Linked DNA regions of Mus musculus: region 2 is reported to be linked to region 1. Evidence: microRNA targets listed by miRTarBase, many of them from high-throughput screens and not tested one by one. Region 1 holds a microRNA gene; the other region holds the end of a gene's coding sequence.

What was found. The annotated mature microRNA mmu-miR-292a-5p reads ACUCAAACUGGGGGCUCUUUUG and lies in region 1 at 2,419-2,440, shown strand. An mRNA with a match to its seed (bases 2 to 7 or 8) in the 3' UTR can be bound and repressed. Matches are read on the target gene's strand: a 7mer-m8 pairs with bases 2 to 8, a 7mer-A1 pairs with bases 2 to 7 and ends in A, and an 8mer does both.
Region 2: the mRNA of Ctsa is a reported target of mmu-miR-292a-5p. Seed matches in the 3' UTR shown: 7mer-m8 at 1,704-1,710 and 7mer-A1 at 2,028-2,034.

Annotation. Positions count from the first base shown.
Region 1 is chr7:3,216,782-3,220,932 of GRCm38, forward strand. It overlaps Mir292 (microRNA 292), which reads left to right and starts at 2,408; the gene lies at 2,408-2,489. It overlaps Mir290a (microRNA 290a), which reads left to right and starts at 1,845; the gene lies at 1,845-1,927. It overlaps Mir290b (microRNA 290b), which reads right to left and starts at 1,914; the gene lies at 1,857-1,914. It overlaps D7Ertd143e (DNA segment, Chr 7, ERATO Doi 143, expressed), which reads left to right and starts at 2,003. Exons shown (of 1, transcript NR_028425.1): 1 at 2,003-4,151. It also overlaps Mir291a, Mir292b, Mir291b, Mir293, Mir294 and Mir295, and 1 more gene.
Region 2 is chr2:164,838,730-164,842,729 of GRCm38, forward strand. Ctsa (cathepsin A) reads left to right here. Exons shown (of 15, transcript NM_008906.4): 13 at 1; 14 at 116-220; 15 at 422-2,303. The coding sequence ends at 505. Pltp (phospholipid transfer protein) reads right to left here. Exons shown (of 16, transcript NM_011125.2): 13 at 1,766-1,808; 14 at 1,592-1,655; 15 at 1,385-1,461; 16 at 789-1,099. The coding sequence ends at 977. Among named protein-coding and RNA genes, the nearest start is that of Ctsa, 7.0 kb to the left of the region's middle.

The DNA.
Region 1 (4,151 bases):
AAAATGTTCCATTACACACACACACACACACACACACACACACACACACACACACAAGGTGTAGACTTAGGAGTCCTAAATTATTCTTGGCTATTTAATGAGCTTATGGCCAGCTTGGCGTACTTGAGCCTTGTCTCCAAAAAACAAACAAACAAACAAACAAACCCTAAACTCCAAGTCTGCAATATGCCTCTGTAGCTTTAGCCCTGCCGCCTGGAGACCTAATTTCAATCCATGGAGCTATTTAAAGATATTTAATAAATAATAATAACAACAACAATAATAATAACAAAAGAAAAACAGCCGGGCATGGTGGCACACGCCTTTAATCCCAGCATTTGGGAGGCAGAGGCAGGCGGATTTCTGAGTTCAAGGCCAGCCTGGTCTACAGAGTGAGTTCCAGGACAGCCAGGGCTACACAGAGAAACCCTGTCTTGAACCCCCTCCCCCCCAAAAAAAACATATTTAAGCATAGGAGAAAACTAACTCTATCATATTGTTCTTGGACCTTCATATTCAGTGTGGGAAAGAAAGAAAGAAAGAAAGAAAGAAAGAAAGAAAGAAAGAAAGAAAGAAAGAAAGAAAGAAAGAAAGAAAGAAAGAAAGAAAGAAAGGTAAAAAAGAGGGAGGATTTGAAACTCTGGATTTAAAAAAAATTCAAACGAAAGAATAAACTGAACCTCCCACATTCTTCCTTTATTTATTTTTATTATTATCTTAATACTGAATGTAGCCCTGCCTAGTCCCGTGCCTAGTCACCATAGTAGACCAAGCTGGCCTTGAACTAACAAAGATCCTCCAGCCTCGGCCTAGAAAACTATAGGATTAAAGGCGCTGCTTCTAGAAACAAACAAAGAAATCTGTTTCCTCTGGGGGGTGGGGGGGAGAAGAAACCAGTGAAGGTCACTCTGCCGCAGGGAAACTCAGCTCAGAGGAAGCAGGGTGGTAGAGTAAGGATTCTCCGGGGTGGGGGAGGGGTATCAGAGCCTCCCAGTCCAGGGGGCCAATGAGCCTTCAGACTATATAAGAACCTAGAGCCTCCCCCACGCCTCTCAGAGACTTCTACTCCACATCGGGAATGCTGGTCTCTGCGGTCTTCAGGGATACCTCCGGCGTGCTGCTTCTCACATAGGCAAAGGTAATATTTTTAGTTTCAGATTTTTTATTTCCTTCAGTTCTGTGGTTTTAATCTACCTGGTTTAGAGAGGCGAAAGTAGATCCAGGATTTCCAGAAGAGAGATCTTCCTGCTTCAACTTTGGAGATGACTAGCCAGGCTGGCCTTTAACTCTCATTTCTGCCTGCCTCTCTGCCTCCAGATTAAAGGTCATCACGGCCATCTTCATTCTACTTTTTAAAAACTAGAGCCCCTTTTTTAAAAGGCAGGCTAGCCGCGAACTCAGCCTTCCTCGCTCGCCCCCACGGTTTGGCTGGGTTTACTAATCCCGAGGCAGAGGCAGGCCCATCTGAGGTTGGTCTGGTCTCCAAAGAAGACATTTAGAACTAATGTGTGTGGAAAAAGAGTTGGGCTTTTTTTTCTGACTTGGTCTACATAATTTCAAGGGAGGAACGAGCCTATGTGGGGAAAGTGAGTAGTCTGGGCGCGAGTGAAGTTTGGGGACCAGAAACCAAAGCTAGGAGTTACTGAGGGCAGGTCTAGGGAGTCTATGCAGTACATTTCATTAACTACGTGGTTTCATTGTAGAAATTTTGAGTTTCACTATACCTTGAGTTAGACCGATGTACTAACTCTTCCTTGATTTCATCCAGGTTTCCTTCAGGTTGGAGTGAATTTTAAGTTCTCCACGTTCTTTCCTCCTGGTAAATGTTTTAACGTCTGGACCGCCTCATCTTGCGGTACTCAAACTATGGGGGCACTTTTTTTTTTCTTTAAAAAGTGCCGCCTAGTTTTAAGCCCCGCCGGTTGAGAAAACGGCTATCTGGCACATTTACCAGCCCTGGTGCCACGTGTTCCGGGTTAACTGCAGCGTGGTGAGTACGGATTCGAAGAAAGGAATGAGACTGAGTATAGCGAAAGGCTAGGGATGGGCATCCTGCCCAGTAGACGGTAACTGAGGTGGTCGTTGTAGGGTACCTGGGGGCTCCATGTGCGTCCTGTCGCTGCTTGGAGCTGTTACACCTATGTAGCGGCCATCAAAGTGGAGGCCCTCTCTTGAGCCTGAATGAGAAAGTGCTTCCACTTTGTGTGCCACTGCATGGGGAAAACATCATAGCTTTGCATCTGACGCATCGGTTTACAGGAGCGGACAACCTGTGTGGGGGTTTAGGCTTGGAGTTTAATGGGTCCTATCCTAAAGAGGGCGGTTCAGTTGGGTGCCACGAGACGCGGATGGATGTAAGGCAGTCGTGAGTCCAGGTGCATTGTAGATTGTTCTTAAGCTTGACCTCCAGCCTGTGATACTCAAACTGGGGGCTCTTTTGGATTTTCATCGGAAGAAAAGTGCCGCCAGGTTTTGAGTGTCACCGGTTGAGAACTCAAAACGGCTAAGAACTAAGAATTAAGTTTTAGTGGGTCATGTTTTCACTGGGGTTGCATTTCTGGGCAGGTGGGTGTCACATGTGGGTTTGAGTCCGAACACTTGGGCGCATGCGGTACTAAAGGCTTTCCGCGTTCATAAAGGAGCCGGGATCCCACATGGGCCTCGCTCGGAGGAGCTGAGCCTCAGGTCTTGGAAGTTGGAACATACAGTGTCGATCAAAGTGGAGGCCCTCTCCGCGGCTTGGCGGGAAAGTGCATCCATTTTGTTTGTCTCTGTGTGTACATGGCGTCTGAAAAGCCGGCTGCAGCTGCAACCTGGAATCGCTTACCTGCTTGAAACAGGTATGTGTGCTGGAGGTGAATTCGTTGCCACTGGCTACTCGAGCTGCAAGGCTGGAGGTGAGGAGGAAGCAGGGCAGGGTGGAAGGAGGCACTCCAGGTCCAGGGGTGGTGAGTCTAAGCCTCAGGTCTGAGTAAAGAAAGGCCTACTTTTAAATCTCACGTGGCCGCCATATTAAGTCCTCTTTCAATTTTTTTCCTTTTTCTCCAAACAGGGTTTCTCTGTAGCCCTGGCTGTCCTGGAGCTAACTCACTTGTAGACCAGCCTGGCCTCAGCTCCATCCACCTGGGATTAAAAGATCCTATATATCTTGCTTGACTACTGTAGTTGCTATATCTTGCTTGACTACTGTAGTTGGACTGATGGTTGTGAGTCTTGATATGGTTGGATTGAATTTTTAGGACCTGCTGGCTGTAGCTGACTTTAACCTGGCTCCTAGCACAAACAAGCTTGGTGGACAGCCGGGTAGATAATACCCATAATACCTTTTGGCTTTACAATAGCCCAGGCTCATGAGGGCTGGGATTACAGGTGTTACATTGTGTGCCCTAAGCATAATCTTCATGGATTCTCTTTGTTTTTCAGGTGTTCCAGTTGAGTTGAATGTAATCCTGCCTAGCCTGGGGTACTTACTTGCCTTCAACCTGCCTGGCTGGCTGGTCTGGCTAAGAACTGACTATAAAGTTTCAGGTTTATTACCACAGCAGGTCCCTGTGGAAATGCTTCAATCTGTGGTACTCAAACTGTGTGACATTTTGTTCTTTGTAAGAAGTGCCGCAGAGTTTGTAGTGTTGCCGATTGAGAAACTGCAGTTGGCCTAAGTGTTGCATCATTTGGGTGTCATCTGTGGGTATGATTCAGTCTGTAATGGGGCAAAAGTAAAAGCTGAGGTGCACGGAACCTCACGGGAAGTGACCCAGATTTGACAGGTACTGTATTACATATAGCTGCATTTATCCTTTTGGCATTGAATAATCCTTAATCTTCAGTTCAGTTGTAGGCATGTTTGGATCTAGCGAAATTCCATATAGCCATACTCAAAATGGAGGCCCTATCTAAGCTTTTAAGTGGAAAGTGCTTCCCTTTTGTGTGTTGCCATGTGGAGAAAGCATCGGAACTTCAATCAACCAGAGACTCCTTGCTTGCTCATCTTGGTGAGACTCAAATGTGGGGCACACTTCTGGACTGTACATAGAAAGTGCTACTACTTTTGAGTCTCTCCTGTGGGCACCATTCACAGGTCGGCTGCTTTCATGCATGTGTAGTGTGTATCTGAATCCAGATGAAGGTTTCCTGGAACTGGGACATGTGGG
Region 2 (4,000 bases), not on the chromosome of region 1:
GGTAAAGTTGCCAGGGAGCTGGGCTGGCTAGGGTGCCAGGAGAGGGCAAAACTGGAGAGCAGCTTTGAGCAAGGATGGGGGTTGCCACTGGCTATCGTCTTTCCCGATGGGACAGATGGAGGTGCAGCGCCGGCCCTGGCTAGTGGACTACGGGGAGAGCGGAGAACAGGTAGCTGGTTTCGTGAAGGAGTGTTCACACATCACCTTCCTCACCATCAAGGTAGGACTTTGTGCCTAGTGAGGGACAGCCGGGGCCAGAGCGGGGGAGTGGTGTGACTTCCCCGTCTCTCTCTGATGATTCTGGGTCACCCTTGATGCATTGGGCGAGCTTGCAGGGTGAGGAGGTGAAGAAGGAAGCGGCTGGAAGTGAGGGGTGATGCATGTTGGGGATCCAGATCTCTCATAAAGCTTTGCTCCCCAGGGTGCCGGACACATGGTCCCCACGGACAAGCCTCGAGCTGCTTTTACCATGTTCTCGAGGTTCCTGAACAAAGAGCCTTACTGATAGCTTCCGCTGCAACCCATGGAAATCCTCAGTACCTGATCAGCCCCTCTCGGCCTCTCTCAGCAGAGAGGAGTCCTCCGCTAATGCTCCCGTGGGGCAAGTCCTGTACTAAAACTGCCCAGACTTCTCACAGCCTGGTGCATCCCAGCCTGGGCCTCAGGGCGTCACAGACAGCCTAGGACCAAGTGAGCACTTTGTTCCGGCCATCGTGGGGTGGCCTGACCTCCCCGACTGCATAAAAACTGACCACCCCAGGACCCCAACAGAGCTAGAGAAACCCAAGGAGGGGGGTGGATGGATTCTAATTGATGGTTGACTAATTCTGGAATTAAATCGGGTATAGCTTCCAACTGGGCTCTTCTCTGTGGCACCGGGACCACTAACACTGTAGATGGGAAGGGGTTGGCAGGGGGTGCAGAGAAGACTTCAGTTAGGTTCCTGAATGCCAGCCACCCAGGTGGGGTGATGGGCTCAGGCAGCTGCAGCAGAGGGTGGGGGGACATGGGAGGCCGCAACGTCTGCAGGACGGTTCTTGTCAATCACTTCTCGAAGCCCTTTGGCAAAGTGGAGGTCAGCCCCAACAGTGACGAAGCCCTGCGGGAGGGGACAGGGAGCCTGGCTGGTTCAGTTGTTTGGAAACAGCCTCCAAACAAACACAAGACTCTTGAGCAAATCCCCTCAGGGGCCCCAGCTGCTTTGCGGCGTGGCGTATGTTCTCTGGAGCATGGCCCTGCTTCTAAGTTAAATCTTTACTACTTAAATAATATATATGTGAAGGAGCAACTAGTGTAAAGGGGTTTCGGGAAAACAGACAAGCACTGGGGTGTTGTAGGGACAGGAATGCCCTGGTCTACGGCCTCCTTTCCACAATGTACTTACCGCGTGGTTGGTCACCACCTCACGCACGAAGTTGATACCCTCAGGAAGGGGGATCTGCACCCCACGCCAGGTACGCTCTGTGGATGAGAGAGGCAAGCTCAGCCTGGGTGTCCATCAGTCCATCTGTGTCGTCATGTCCACCATCCACCGCCGTCCCCCCTTTGTTAGTCCGTGTCCCCACTCCATCCTCCCACCCTCAGTCCCTACCGTTCAGCAAAGGCATCACTCCGATTTGCAGCAGTGTCTTCAGTGGGGCCTGCAGTGGGATCAGCTGAGGGGGAAAAAAAAGGCAGGGGGGGGCGACAGACAGTGCATACAGGTTTGAGTGAGCGGCCAACTTGCCCCGAGGCCTGGACCCACCCTTTGCCATCCCCAACTCACCGCCAGAGACTCCAGCGCAGACTGATTTGAGTAGATTTGAAACCTGTGGGAGAGAAATACACCGTGAAACCTGGGAACACCCTTTCCTTGGGCCCTACCTAAAAGATGGCAGCAAGTGACAGCCTTCCCAGTTCTATCCAATCATCCTTCAGGTAGCTGCCATTTCCCAGGTGTGCATCCCTGAGTGCCTTTGGTCTCTGGAGCCCCCTTTCTTTAAGCCTACTGCTTTTCTTTTTTTTTTTCTTTTGTCTTTTTTTTTTTTTTTGAGACAGGGCTTCTCTGTGTAGCCCTGGCTGTCCTGGAACTCACTCTGTAGACCAGGTTGGCCTGGAGCTCTGAAATCCGCCTGCCTCAGAGTGCTGGAATTAAAGGCGTGCGCCACCACTGCCCGGCGCCTGCTGTTTTTCATTTGTCAGGAATGCCTATGTGCCACGCTCTGCGGCTAGGTAAATAAGTATGGTTTTATCTAAGGAAATTCCAACAATCTTTACTCTCTGTCAGATACCAAACTTATTCAAAAGAATTAAAATGGCTCTGCAAAATGGCTCAGTGTGGTGGGTAAAGGGCCCGACTGCTTGAGTTTGATCCCTAGGGCACACATGGTAGAGGGGAGACTGGACAGGTTGACCTTTGACCATCAATGCACTGTGTGACACGTGAGTGCCCTCACACATAAATGCATATGTTCATAAGCTCACACACACGAGTTAATTACAAAAAGGAAAGCCTGCCAGCTGTGTTGGCCCATTTCTTTAATCCCAGCACTCAGGAGGCAGAGGCAGGTGGCTTTCTTTGAGTTTGCAAACAGCCCCAGTGAGATTTTTTTTTTTTTTTGTCTCAAAATGGGTTTGAGGAGGGGCACAATACTGAAGAGATGGCTTAGAGGGCTTGCTGCTAGCTGGGCAGTGGTGGAACACGCACTTGGGAGGCAGAGGCAGGCGGATTTCTGAGTTCGAGGCCAGCCTGGTCTACAGAGTAAGTTCCAAGACAGTCAGGACTACACAGAGAAATCCTGTCTTGAAAAACAAAACAAAAAGGGGGGGGGGGGGAGGAGGCTTGCTGCTCTTCTAGCGGATCTGAATTCGGTTCCCAGTGCCCACATCTGGCAGCTCACATGGCTTATAACTCCAGCTTCAGGGTATCTGAAGCATTCTGATCTCTCCAGGCTCCCGTACATATACATATTACACACCACACCACACACACACATACACACCACATGCATACATCACACACATCGCACACCACACCACATACACACCATGCATACACACATTCCACACACATACCACACACTTATCAAATAAGAGGACAGGAGAAAGTTGATGGATGGTTCAGTGTCTAAGAGCTCATACTTCTCGGGGGAACCAGCACCCATGACACACAATTGACGACGTCCTGGAACTCCAGGAGAGGGCATTACTTTTGCACCTACATGCACACACACATACCCACACATACAAATTTGAGAGCTGCCAAGGTGGCACAGACCTTTAATCTCAACATCCTGCCATTAATCTCCAGACGCAGGGGGTCTCTGTGAGTTCCAGGCTAGCCTGGTCTACATATTAAGACCCTGTCTCATTCAAAACAAAAACAGGCAGTGGTGGCGCATGCCTTTAATCCCAGCACTCAGAAGACAGGCAGGTGGATTTCTGAGTTTGTGACCAGCCTGGTCTAGAGTGAGTTCCAGGACAGCCAGGGCTACATAGAGAAACCCTGTCTCGAAAAACAACAAAAACAAAGTAAAACAGAAGAACAATAAGCAAGGAAAAGGGGAAAAGCTGAAATGCTGGACTGGAGATGAAGAGCAGGTACAGAGCCCGGGTTCCATTCCCAGGGCCACATAAATATATGTGCCACTTGGGGAGTGGGGAGAGAGAGAGACTGTCTGCATGAAGGTCCACGTGTGTAGGAGTGGATTTGGACATGTGCATGTGAAGGATGGGGATGGTCACACCATCCACCATGTTTTGAGCCAGAATCTCTTATTGGCCCAAAGCTCCAGCGTTTGGCTAAGCTGACTGGGGAGTTAGCCCCAGGGATCTTCTATCTTTCCCCACTGTTGGGGTCACAAGCCATTGCCTCTACTCTGAGTTTTAGGACTCATACACTCATTCTCAAATTCCTTCAAATCAACTCTTCAGTCCTTGGGGTGTTTTGTTTTGTTTGGGGGGGTTGTTTTGTTTTTTGGAGTTATGGTGTTTGCTTGAAACAGTGTCTTGCTACATAGGT